2 linked regions of the Cricetulus griseus genome follow. The protein of the gene in region 1 interacts with the protein of each later gene in a biochemical or structural test. Links are inferred from orthologs where the notes say so. Each region holds a gene or a part of one and is shown on either strand. Other genes may lie near its edges. The genes, in order: Lcat and Apoa1.

Region 1 (4,601 bases):
GGCTGGCCTGGTCTGCATAATGAGTTCCAGGCCAGCCAAGGCTACATAGTAGAACCCTGTCTTCAAAAACAAACAAAACCAGGCAAACAAAAAGTGGGCAAAAAGCTTATGCCTATAATTCCAGTACTTAGGAAGCTGAGGCAAAAGGCCAGCCTGTCTTGAACTAACAAACAAAAAACCTCACCCATTCCACCTGAACTAGAACCAATCAGTGCCCATTTCCCAGAGGCAGGGTGGTCATGTTAGACCCAGTCAGGCCCCCATTTTCCCAGGGTATCAAGGATACACCCTCTGATTGTCCTCAGGCCCAGCTGGTCAAAGACAGGCACTCAGCCCTGCGGCTAGAGAGCCTTTACTCAGATGAGGAGGATGAGGCTGCAGCAGGGGCTGACAGGATCCAGATGACATGGACCAGAGACAAGTACATGCCTGAGCCCTGGGACCCTAGCCATGCCCCCGACAACTTCCGGGAGCTGGTGCACATTAAGCCGTGAGTACAAATGACGTTGAGGAGGAGTGGGAACAGGCAAACTGTGCAGATGAGCCAAGGACAGAGACCTCTTTGCTAGTTAGTTCTCAGTAGCCTGTGATCAGTTGCTTTGTCTGCAGGGATCAGTCCAATGTACGGCGCATGCACACTGCTGTGAAGCTCAATGAAGTCATTGTCACACGCTCCCATGATGCCCGCCTAGTCCTACTGAACATGCCTGGTCCCCCTAAGAACAGTGAGGGTGATGAGAACTGTATCCTTTTGTGTAAAGGCTGACAGTAGGGAGCTATCCTCTCCTTGAGTGTCCCTGGGTGGCTGGGAAGCAGTAGACTTGGTCCAGTCGCTGCCTCCTTGACCTGATACCCTACAGACATGGAATTCCTTGAAGTGCTGACTGAGGGCCTTGAACGAGTGTTGTTGGTGCGTGGAGGTGGCCGTGAAGTCATCACCATCTATTCCTGAGCCCAGTGGAGTCTCGTGGCCTGGAGTTGGGGTGTCTAGGACAACAGTCCCTACCCCTACACCTACTTGCCAGTTCTGCTTTGCCCAGCCTTGCTTTGGACCAGTTTTGCTAGGTCTCCTGGGAAACCAAGCTTGGACCTGGCAATTTAAATGGATCCGAGGGCCCATGGAGCCTGGGGGATATAGGGATTTTCACCCATACCCCAGTGTAGGCTTATCCTGACTAGAGAAGACTGGTGAGGGTTAATATGGGATTTGAAGTCCCAGTCTGGCCCAGGAGCGCTATTTATTGTATATTTATTGTTTGGATGTCATCATCAGAGAAGAGGGGAGGGATACTAAGAGGGGGAACTGAGCTGGGCCTGCCTGCAGGAAGACCTGGCTCAGGCTGCTGTGGGCAGAGACTCTCATCAAGCCAAGTGGAATGGAGCTGGCCAAGTTGAGCCTGACTTTTTTCAATAAAACATTGTGTATTTCTGGGCGTCCTGCTGCCCCAGCTCTTTTTCCCCTGGCGCCAAGGGAAGAAAGAACTGAACCCAAATCCATAGCCAGATCCCTAAGGCTATGCCCCTTCCTGGCCACCCCCATTGGTGGTTCTGTCCCTCCCACTGGCCCTGGGGCCCCTCCCATCCTCAGTCTAGATAAGACCAGCCTAGGACTGCCTCATCTGGCAGTAGGCACTGGGCTGGAATGGGGCTGCCTGGCTCCCCATGGCAGTGGGTGCTGCTGCTGTTGGGGCTGCTGCTCCCTCCTGCCACCCCCTTCTGGCTCCTCAATGTGCTCTTCCCCCCGCAAACCACGCCCAAGGCTGAACTCAGTAACCACACAAGGCCTGTCATCCTCGGTAAGCCCCCACTAGGCCCCTGATGCATCAAGCAAGACTTTGGGGAGCCTGGGTCTTAGCCCCTGACAGCAGCAGATGCTGTCAAAATTCTTCTGCCCCACCATTAGTGGGTCTTAGCCCCCTCATACCTGTGGGGAAGGGGCAAAGCCTAGTTCTACAGAGATACCACCCCTCTCCCCTTCACACTGTTCTATGTCTAAGTTGTCTTCAGGGGCTTAGGGTTGGGGTGGTGGTCAGTAAATGGGATGTGGTTTGCCTGACCGTAGCCAGGGCACCTCAAACTATGGCCAGCTCCAGATACACTGGATACTAGGTTAAGCCCCACTACTTCCTTGGCTTCTACTTTACCAAGAAGGAGATACCCAGTCCAGTGCCAGATAGCACAAGAGGTCCATAAATGCCTCCCTCCCGTTCTAGGCCCAGCCCATGTTCCCTCGTACCTATTTGTTCTCTCCTTGGACTTTGGCAATAATGGAAAGCCAAGCTGGATGTTTGTTTTGTGGGGGCAGGGGTCAGCGGCTTGGTTCCTGCACCTTCCCTGCCTAAAGGGAGCCTGGATGTTGCAGTACTGGTGGGGCAGTAGGAAGTGTGGTGGAGAGAAGATAGATATGGTTAGAGGGTGTGGGAAATGGAGGGGTGGGCGTTTTTTGGTGGTAGGGTGGGGGGTTGGAGAGAAGCCAAGAAGTCCAGAACAAAAGCTGGTGCCCACAGTGCCTGGCTGCCTGGGGAATCGGCTGGAAGCTAAGCTGGATAAACCAGATGTGGTGAACTGGTTGTGCTACCGCAAGACAGAGGACTTCTTCACCATCTGGCTGGATCTCAATATGTTTCTACCCCTTGGGGTGGACTGCTGGATTGATAATACCAGGTATGTTCCATGTGCCCTACCCATCCTCTACACATTTCCCCTGGTTACTGGTTGCTAAATGTTCCACTGTCCCCAGGGTTGTCTACAACCGCAGCTCTGGGCACGTGTCCAATGCTCCTGGTGTACAGATCCGTGTCCCTGGCTTTGGCAAGACCTACTCTGTTGAGTACTTAGATGACAACAAGCTAGCAGGTGTGTCTACTCAGGGAAAGGAAGGGGCTCTTGGCCATCAGGCTGGCATACAGGTATGATGGACAGAGATCCCTATATTGCTGCCTCCCCACAGGTTACATGCACACACTGGTACAGAATCTGGTTAACAATGGGTATGTGCGGGATGAGACAGTGCGGGCCGCACCCTATGACTGGCGTCTGGAACCCAGTGAGTGTTTACAGGTGGTGGGCTGGGGGCATGACAGGTGGTCCCAGACTCTCATTGCTCTGACCTATCTGCCCATCTTCAGGCCAGCAGGATGAATACTACCGGAAGCTGGCAGGACTGGTAGAGGAGATGTATGCTGCTTATGGGAAGCCTGTCTTCCTTATTGGGCACAGCCTTGGCTGCCTACATGTGCTCTACTTCTTACTGCGTCAGCCTCAGTCCTGGAAGGACCGCTTCATTGATGGTTTTATCTCTCTTGGGGCTCCTTGGGGTGGCTCTATCAAGCCCATGCTGGTCATGGCCTCAGGTGAGGATCCTCTTGATCACTGTCATCCTGGGCAGGGTGAGGGTGGGATGAAACAGATCACAGAGCTGGCTGTCACTCCAGCTGTGCTCAGTGTCCCCAGGGAAATTTTCTGTTCACTAGCTCCTTGAAGACAGCCATTAGGATGTCTCCTTGTAGAGTCTTTTAGTGATGATAAGGGAGGTGATAGAGGAGGCCAATCCAAGTAGTCTGTCAGCCCCAGATTTACTCTTTGTAGGCCCAGATCCTGTATACTCTGGCTTTTAGTTACTTTTCACTCCCCGGAGCACCATGCCCAGAAATCTGTTTTATTGAGGACATATCTACCGCAGCAGGGCCAAACCTAGGGATCCTTTATGCTCTTTTTCTTTTTTGGGGGGTGGCTTCCCTAGGAACCCAACACTAATATAGCCACCATTCACTGATCCCCATTTTCTACTGGGCACAGAAAGACCCAGCCTTCATTGTTAACATCCTCACCAGACTACACCACTGAATCTAAAACAGACACCGTCTAAACCTCCAAAAATACAATCTTGTGACTACTGTGCAGCATAGGCCCTTCACAGGACATTACACACACACACTTCCCAGATCTCTCTCTTTTTTTGGTTTTCCAAGACAGGGTTTCTCTGTATTGCTTTGGAGCCTGTCTTGGAACTCTCTCTGTAGACCAGGCTGACCTCTGCCTCCTGTGTGCTGGGATTAAAGGCTTTCCGCCATCAACGCCCCAGCTGATCTCATTAACTGCTCCTCTTCCAGTACATACCATTTGAGGCCCTATAGCTCTGTCTTACAGAAATATCAACATAGCCTCTTATACAAACATTGAGCACTTAACACCAGGCCTGTTCCAGTCTGTGTCTTGGAATCAAGGTCAGGATGGGGCAGGACAAGTTTTTTGTTGTTGTTGTTTTGTTTTTTGAGACAGGGTTGCTCTGTGGCTTTGGAGCCTGTCCTGGAACTAGCTCTTGTAGACCAGGCTGGTCTCGAACTCACAGAGATCCACCTACCTCTGCCTCCTGTGTGCTGGGATTAAAGGCGTGAGCCACTACCCACCGCCTGGCAGGACAAAGTTTAAGTGCTTCACTGAGGCAAATAGGGAGCCAGGCCCAGCTCCCTGTCCCACCTGGTTCTGTATCCACAGGTGACAACCAGGGCATCCCATTCATGTCCAGCATCAAGCTGAGAGAGGAGCAACGAATAACCACGACCTCCCCCTGGATGTTTCCAGCCCGCCAAGTATGGCCT
Region 2 (3,758 bases), on another chromosome or scaffold:
ACACAGACACAGACACACACGCATGCACGCACACTTTTCTTCCTTCCTTCCTTCCTTCCTTCCTTCCTTCCTTTCTTTCTTTCTTTCTTTCTTTCTTTCTTTCTCTTTCTCCTTTTTTTTGAGACAGGATTTCTCTGTGTAACAGTCTTAGTTATCCTGGAACTTGATTGTAGACCAAGTTGGCCCCGAACTCAGAGAGATCAACCTGCCCCTGCCTCCTGAGTGCTGGGATGAAAGGTGTGCGACACTGTCATCCAGCTATACACACACTTTTTGTTTTGTTTTTGTTTTAGTTTGTTTTTTGTTTTGGTTTGGTCTGGGTTTTTTTTTTTGTTTGTTTGTATGTTTTTGGTTTTTTGTTTTTCAAGACAGAATTTATTTCTCTGTGTAACAGCCCTGGCTGTCCTGGAACTCACTTTGTAGACGAGGCTGGCCTCAAACTCACTGAGATCCACCTGCCTCTGCCTCCCAAGTGCTAAGATTAAAGGCATGTGCCACCACTGCCTGGCCTCACACACATTTTAAAGCTAGGCTTGGTGCCATATTCTAGCGCTTGGAAGGATGTAGTTTGATGTTTTGAGTAGGAGGTAGGCTTAAGCTACACAGAAAGACCTTGGCTCCAAAAGGAAGAAAGGGACGGGGGAGGGATGGAAGGAGGAGAAGGAAGGAGCTGACAACTCCATATTGGCCTCATGTCTTCTGAAGTGTCAAAGGGGTCTTCATCCTCAGCCTGGGCCCCTGAGCCCCTCTGCATTTCACCCAGGCAAGTTCCTGGTGCCTCAGCTGTTCTTGGATTTAGGGATGGGAGGCCTATCAGGCATGTGGCATCTGGAGATAGGCATACGCTACCTGGGGAACCAGGATCAACTTCTTGTAATGCAAGAAAACTTTGGGGCAGGATGTGAATGTAGGAGCCCGAAGTTCCCTACCCCAACCCAACTCCAGGCTCAGAGGACAATTGCAACACATAGGAATACAGGAAGGAGGATGGTGCAGCAGTCATAACTGTGGAGACCCCCTGAGTCTGCAGCCACTCCCCTGCTTCCTCCACCTGAACCCTTGATCCCAGCTCTGCAGCCCCCGCAGCTTCCTGTTTGCCCACTCTGTTTGTCCAGCCCCAGGAACACAGCTGATCCTTGAACTCTAAGTTCCACATCGTCAGGACAAGTAAGCAGAGACAGGGCCAGGGTTGGGCTTATCAGCCTTCCCTCCCGGCCCCTGCCTACAAACATAAATAGGCCAGGGAAGAAGAGCTGGGCACTCAGAGACTGTTGGAGAACTCCAGGGAGGTAAGTGCTGCTACCTGCCCTAGGCTACTCTGGCTCCCTAGTGCCTCACCCACTCTGTGGGTTTCTGGGACCTTTTCCCACTCTAGATGCTTCTTCCACTGGCTTAAAGGTGGGGTGCAAGTGTGGGGCTTCTCTATGACAGAACCCCCCTGCAGCTCAGCAATTCTATTTCTTCAGGTCACCCATGCGGTTCAGGATGAAAGCTGTGGTGCTGGCCGTGGCTGTGCTCTTCCTGACCGGTAGGTGCCTCCAACCCAGGGAGGCAACAATATTGGTGCAGTGGGCTTCTGCTTAGGCCTCCATGGCCTACCTTCCTGGGCACAGAGAACAGAATTCTCTCTGGTCTCCTTCCCAATTCCAAGTCTGACACTGCAGCTCAGACCTCAGCCCAGAGCTGGCCTGACATGTGTCTCCCCTCCATCCCCAGGGAGCCAGGCTCGGCACTTCTGGCAGCAAGATGATCCCCAGACCCCATGGGACAGAGTGAAGGATTTCGCCACTGTGTATGTGGACGCAGTGAAAGACAGCGGCAGAGAATATGTATCTCAATTTGAAACTTCCGTCTTGGGAAAACAGATGAAGTAAGGAAGAAGCCAACCTGGGGCCTGGAGCAGGGCAAGGGTTGTCTATCCAGGGTGGGCAAAGAGGCCTGTGAGAAGATGATGTAACTGAACTAGCCAAATCTTCACCTGCTATCCTACCTTTGGGCACCATGGCAGGGTCCAATGGAGGAATAGGGATGGGACTCACCTGGGTGGTGGGTAACCACAACCCTTCTTTCTGCCTGTGAGTGCAAAAATCTCTTCCCCTGGGTTACCTCTAGTACTGGTCAGCCAGCACAGAAAGGGAACTGGCCTGGCAACAGGCACCAACCCCATCTTTGTCCTTGGTACCTCAGGCCTGGTATACTGAGGAATGTGGAAGGCGGGAAGAGTGTTAGAGGGGTGCGTATTTGGGGGAAACTAGGAACATAGCAACTGCACGTTCGGAGATAGGTGGCACCCAGGACTGCACCAATACCTGGGGCAGTGCAGGATGCCTGAGGCTATCTCTCAGCTGCTCTCTCCTCCTTCAGCCTGAATCTCCTGGAGAACTGGGACACCCTGGGCTCAACGGTTGGTCGCCTGCAGGAACAGCTGGGCCCAGTGACTCAGGAGTTCTGGGATAACCTGGAAAAGGACACAGATTGGCTGAGGCAGGAGATGAACAAGGACCTGGAGGAGGTGAAGGCGAAGGTGCAGCCCTATCTGGACCAATTCCAGAGCAAGTGGCAGGAGGAAGTGGCTCTCTACCGCCAGAAGGTGGAGCCTCTGGGCGCGGAGCTGCGCGATGGCGCGCGCCAGAAGCTGCAGGAACTGCAGGAGAAGCTGACCCCTCTGGGTGAGGATCTTCGTGACCGCATGCGCAAACACGTTGATACTCTGCGCACAAAGCTGACTCCCTACAGCGACCAGATGCGCGAGCGCCTGGCTGAGCGCCTGGCCCAACTCAAGGACAGCCCCACCCTGGCTGAGTACCACACCAAGGCCACCGGCCATCTGAAGGCGCTCGGGGAGAAGGCCAAACCCGCTCTGGAGGACCTGCGCCAGGGCCTGATGCCCGTGTTTGAGAGCTTTAAGGCCAGATTAATGAGTATGATCGATGAAGCCAGCAAGAAGCTGAATGCCCAGTGAGGCGCCCATCTCCACACCCCACCCCTGCATTGGCTTTCTTAGAATAAACTTTTCCAAAGTGGGATGGCTTCTTTCTTTGGGGGACCATAGGGAGAACACTAAAGGGACATCCAGGTTCTTGGGAACTTGGTGCTGCAGTGGGGATTCCTTCATACAGGACTCAGCTCTCCAAGCTCACTCAAGCCTGGCGCATGGCTGGTTAGGAGTGTGAGACAGAATCCCTGTCCTAAGAAGGCTCAGAGGGAAATAGATGGCCAGGCAAAGCAACAGGGAGCCCCTTGAAAAGTACTCCACAGAGGCTCAAACCACTAGTTCTGTAGCCCAGATTGGGAGTGGCTGGGAAAAGAACTGCCTTTAAGAGGACAGGTTTCCTGTGCCTGAAGTGTTTCCAGGTGGGGTTCACCTGGGCAGAGGTTGCAAGCATCTTCCACTCTCTAGAGCCAGGATCCCTCAAGGATTCAGAGACTCGAATTGTTGCCCTAATTGTGCTAATAAAATGCCTGGAGCTTAACATTCTCTCTTTCACAAACCCCAAACCCCTCAGCAAACAATTCTCTTTTTCTCTCGGCAAGATTCCCACGCAGTCATCTCCCCACCCAAAAACTGGCCTACTGTGAAAGACAGCTGTCACAGTGGCTGTAGTCAGTCTACCTGCCAGTTGGGCAAAAAACACTTTGTGATGCTGATTTCCACATTTATTAGAGAGGCCTTCCTATCCATCTCCAAATCACGAATGATGGCCATTATGTCTATGTTAGCCTGGGAAGCTGATGTGAAGTTAGTGAAGGGAAGGTGG

The links.
Region 2: the proteins of Lcat (region 1) and Apoa1 form a complex in vitro, tested with the Homo sapiens proteins (6 studies listed by BioGRID and IntAct, with this or other methods). The link is inferred for Cricetulus griseus from reciprocal best matches to the Homo sapiens genes LCAT and APOA1.

What each region holds. Positions count from the first base shown.
Region 1 is NC_048596.1:182,228,895-182,233,495, reverse strand, and holds the start of Lcat (phosphatidylcholine-sterol acyltransferase), read left to right. Parts: upstream 1-1,796; 5' UTR 1,797-2,284; coding exon 2,285-2,664; intron 2,665-2,740; coding exon 2,741-2,856; intron 2,857-2,950; coding exon 2,951-3,046; intron 3,047-3,128; coding exon 3,129-3,353; intron 3,354-4,497; coding exon 4,498-4,601. UniProt on the Homo sapiens protein: Central enzyme in the extracellular metabolism of plasma lipoproteins.
Region 2 is NC_048597.1:157,966,566-157,970,323, forward strand, and holds Apoa1 (apolipoprotein A-I), read left to right. Parts: upstream 1-1,343; 5' UTR 1,344-1,473; coding exon 1,474-1,528; intron 1,529-1,716; coding exon 1,717-1,870; intron 1,871-2,364; coding exon 2,365-2,962; 3' UTR 2,963-3,023; downstream 3,024-3,758. UniProt on the Homo sapiens protein: Participates in the reverse transport of cholesterol from tissues to the liver for excretion by promoting cholesterol efflux from tissues and by acting as a cofactor for the lecithin cholesterol acyltransferase (LCAT).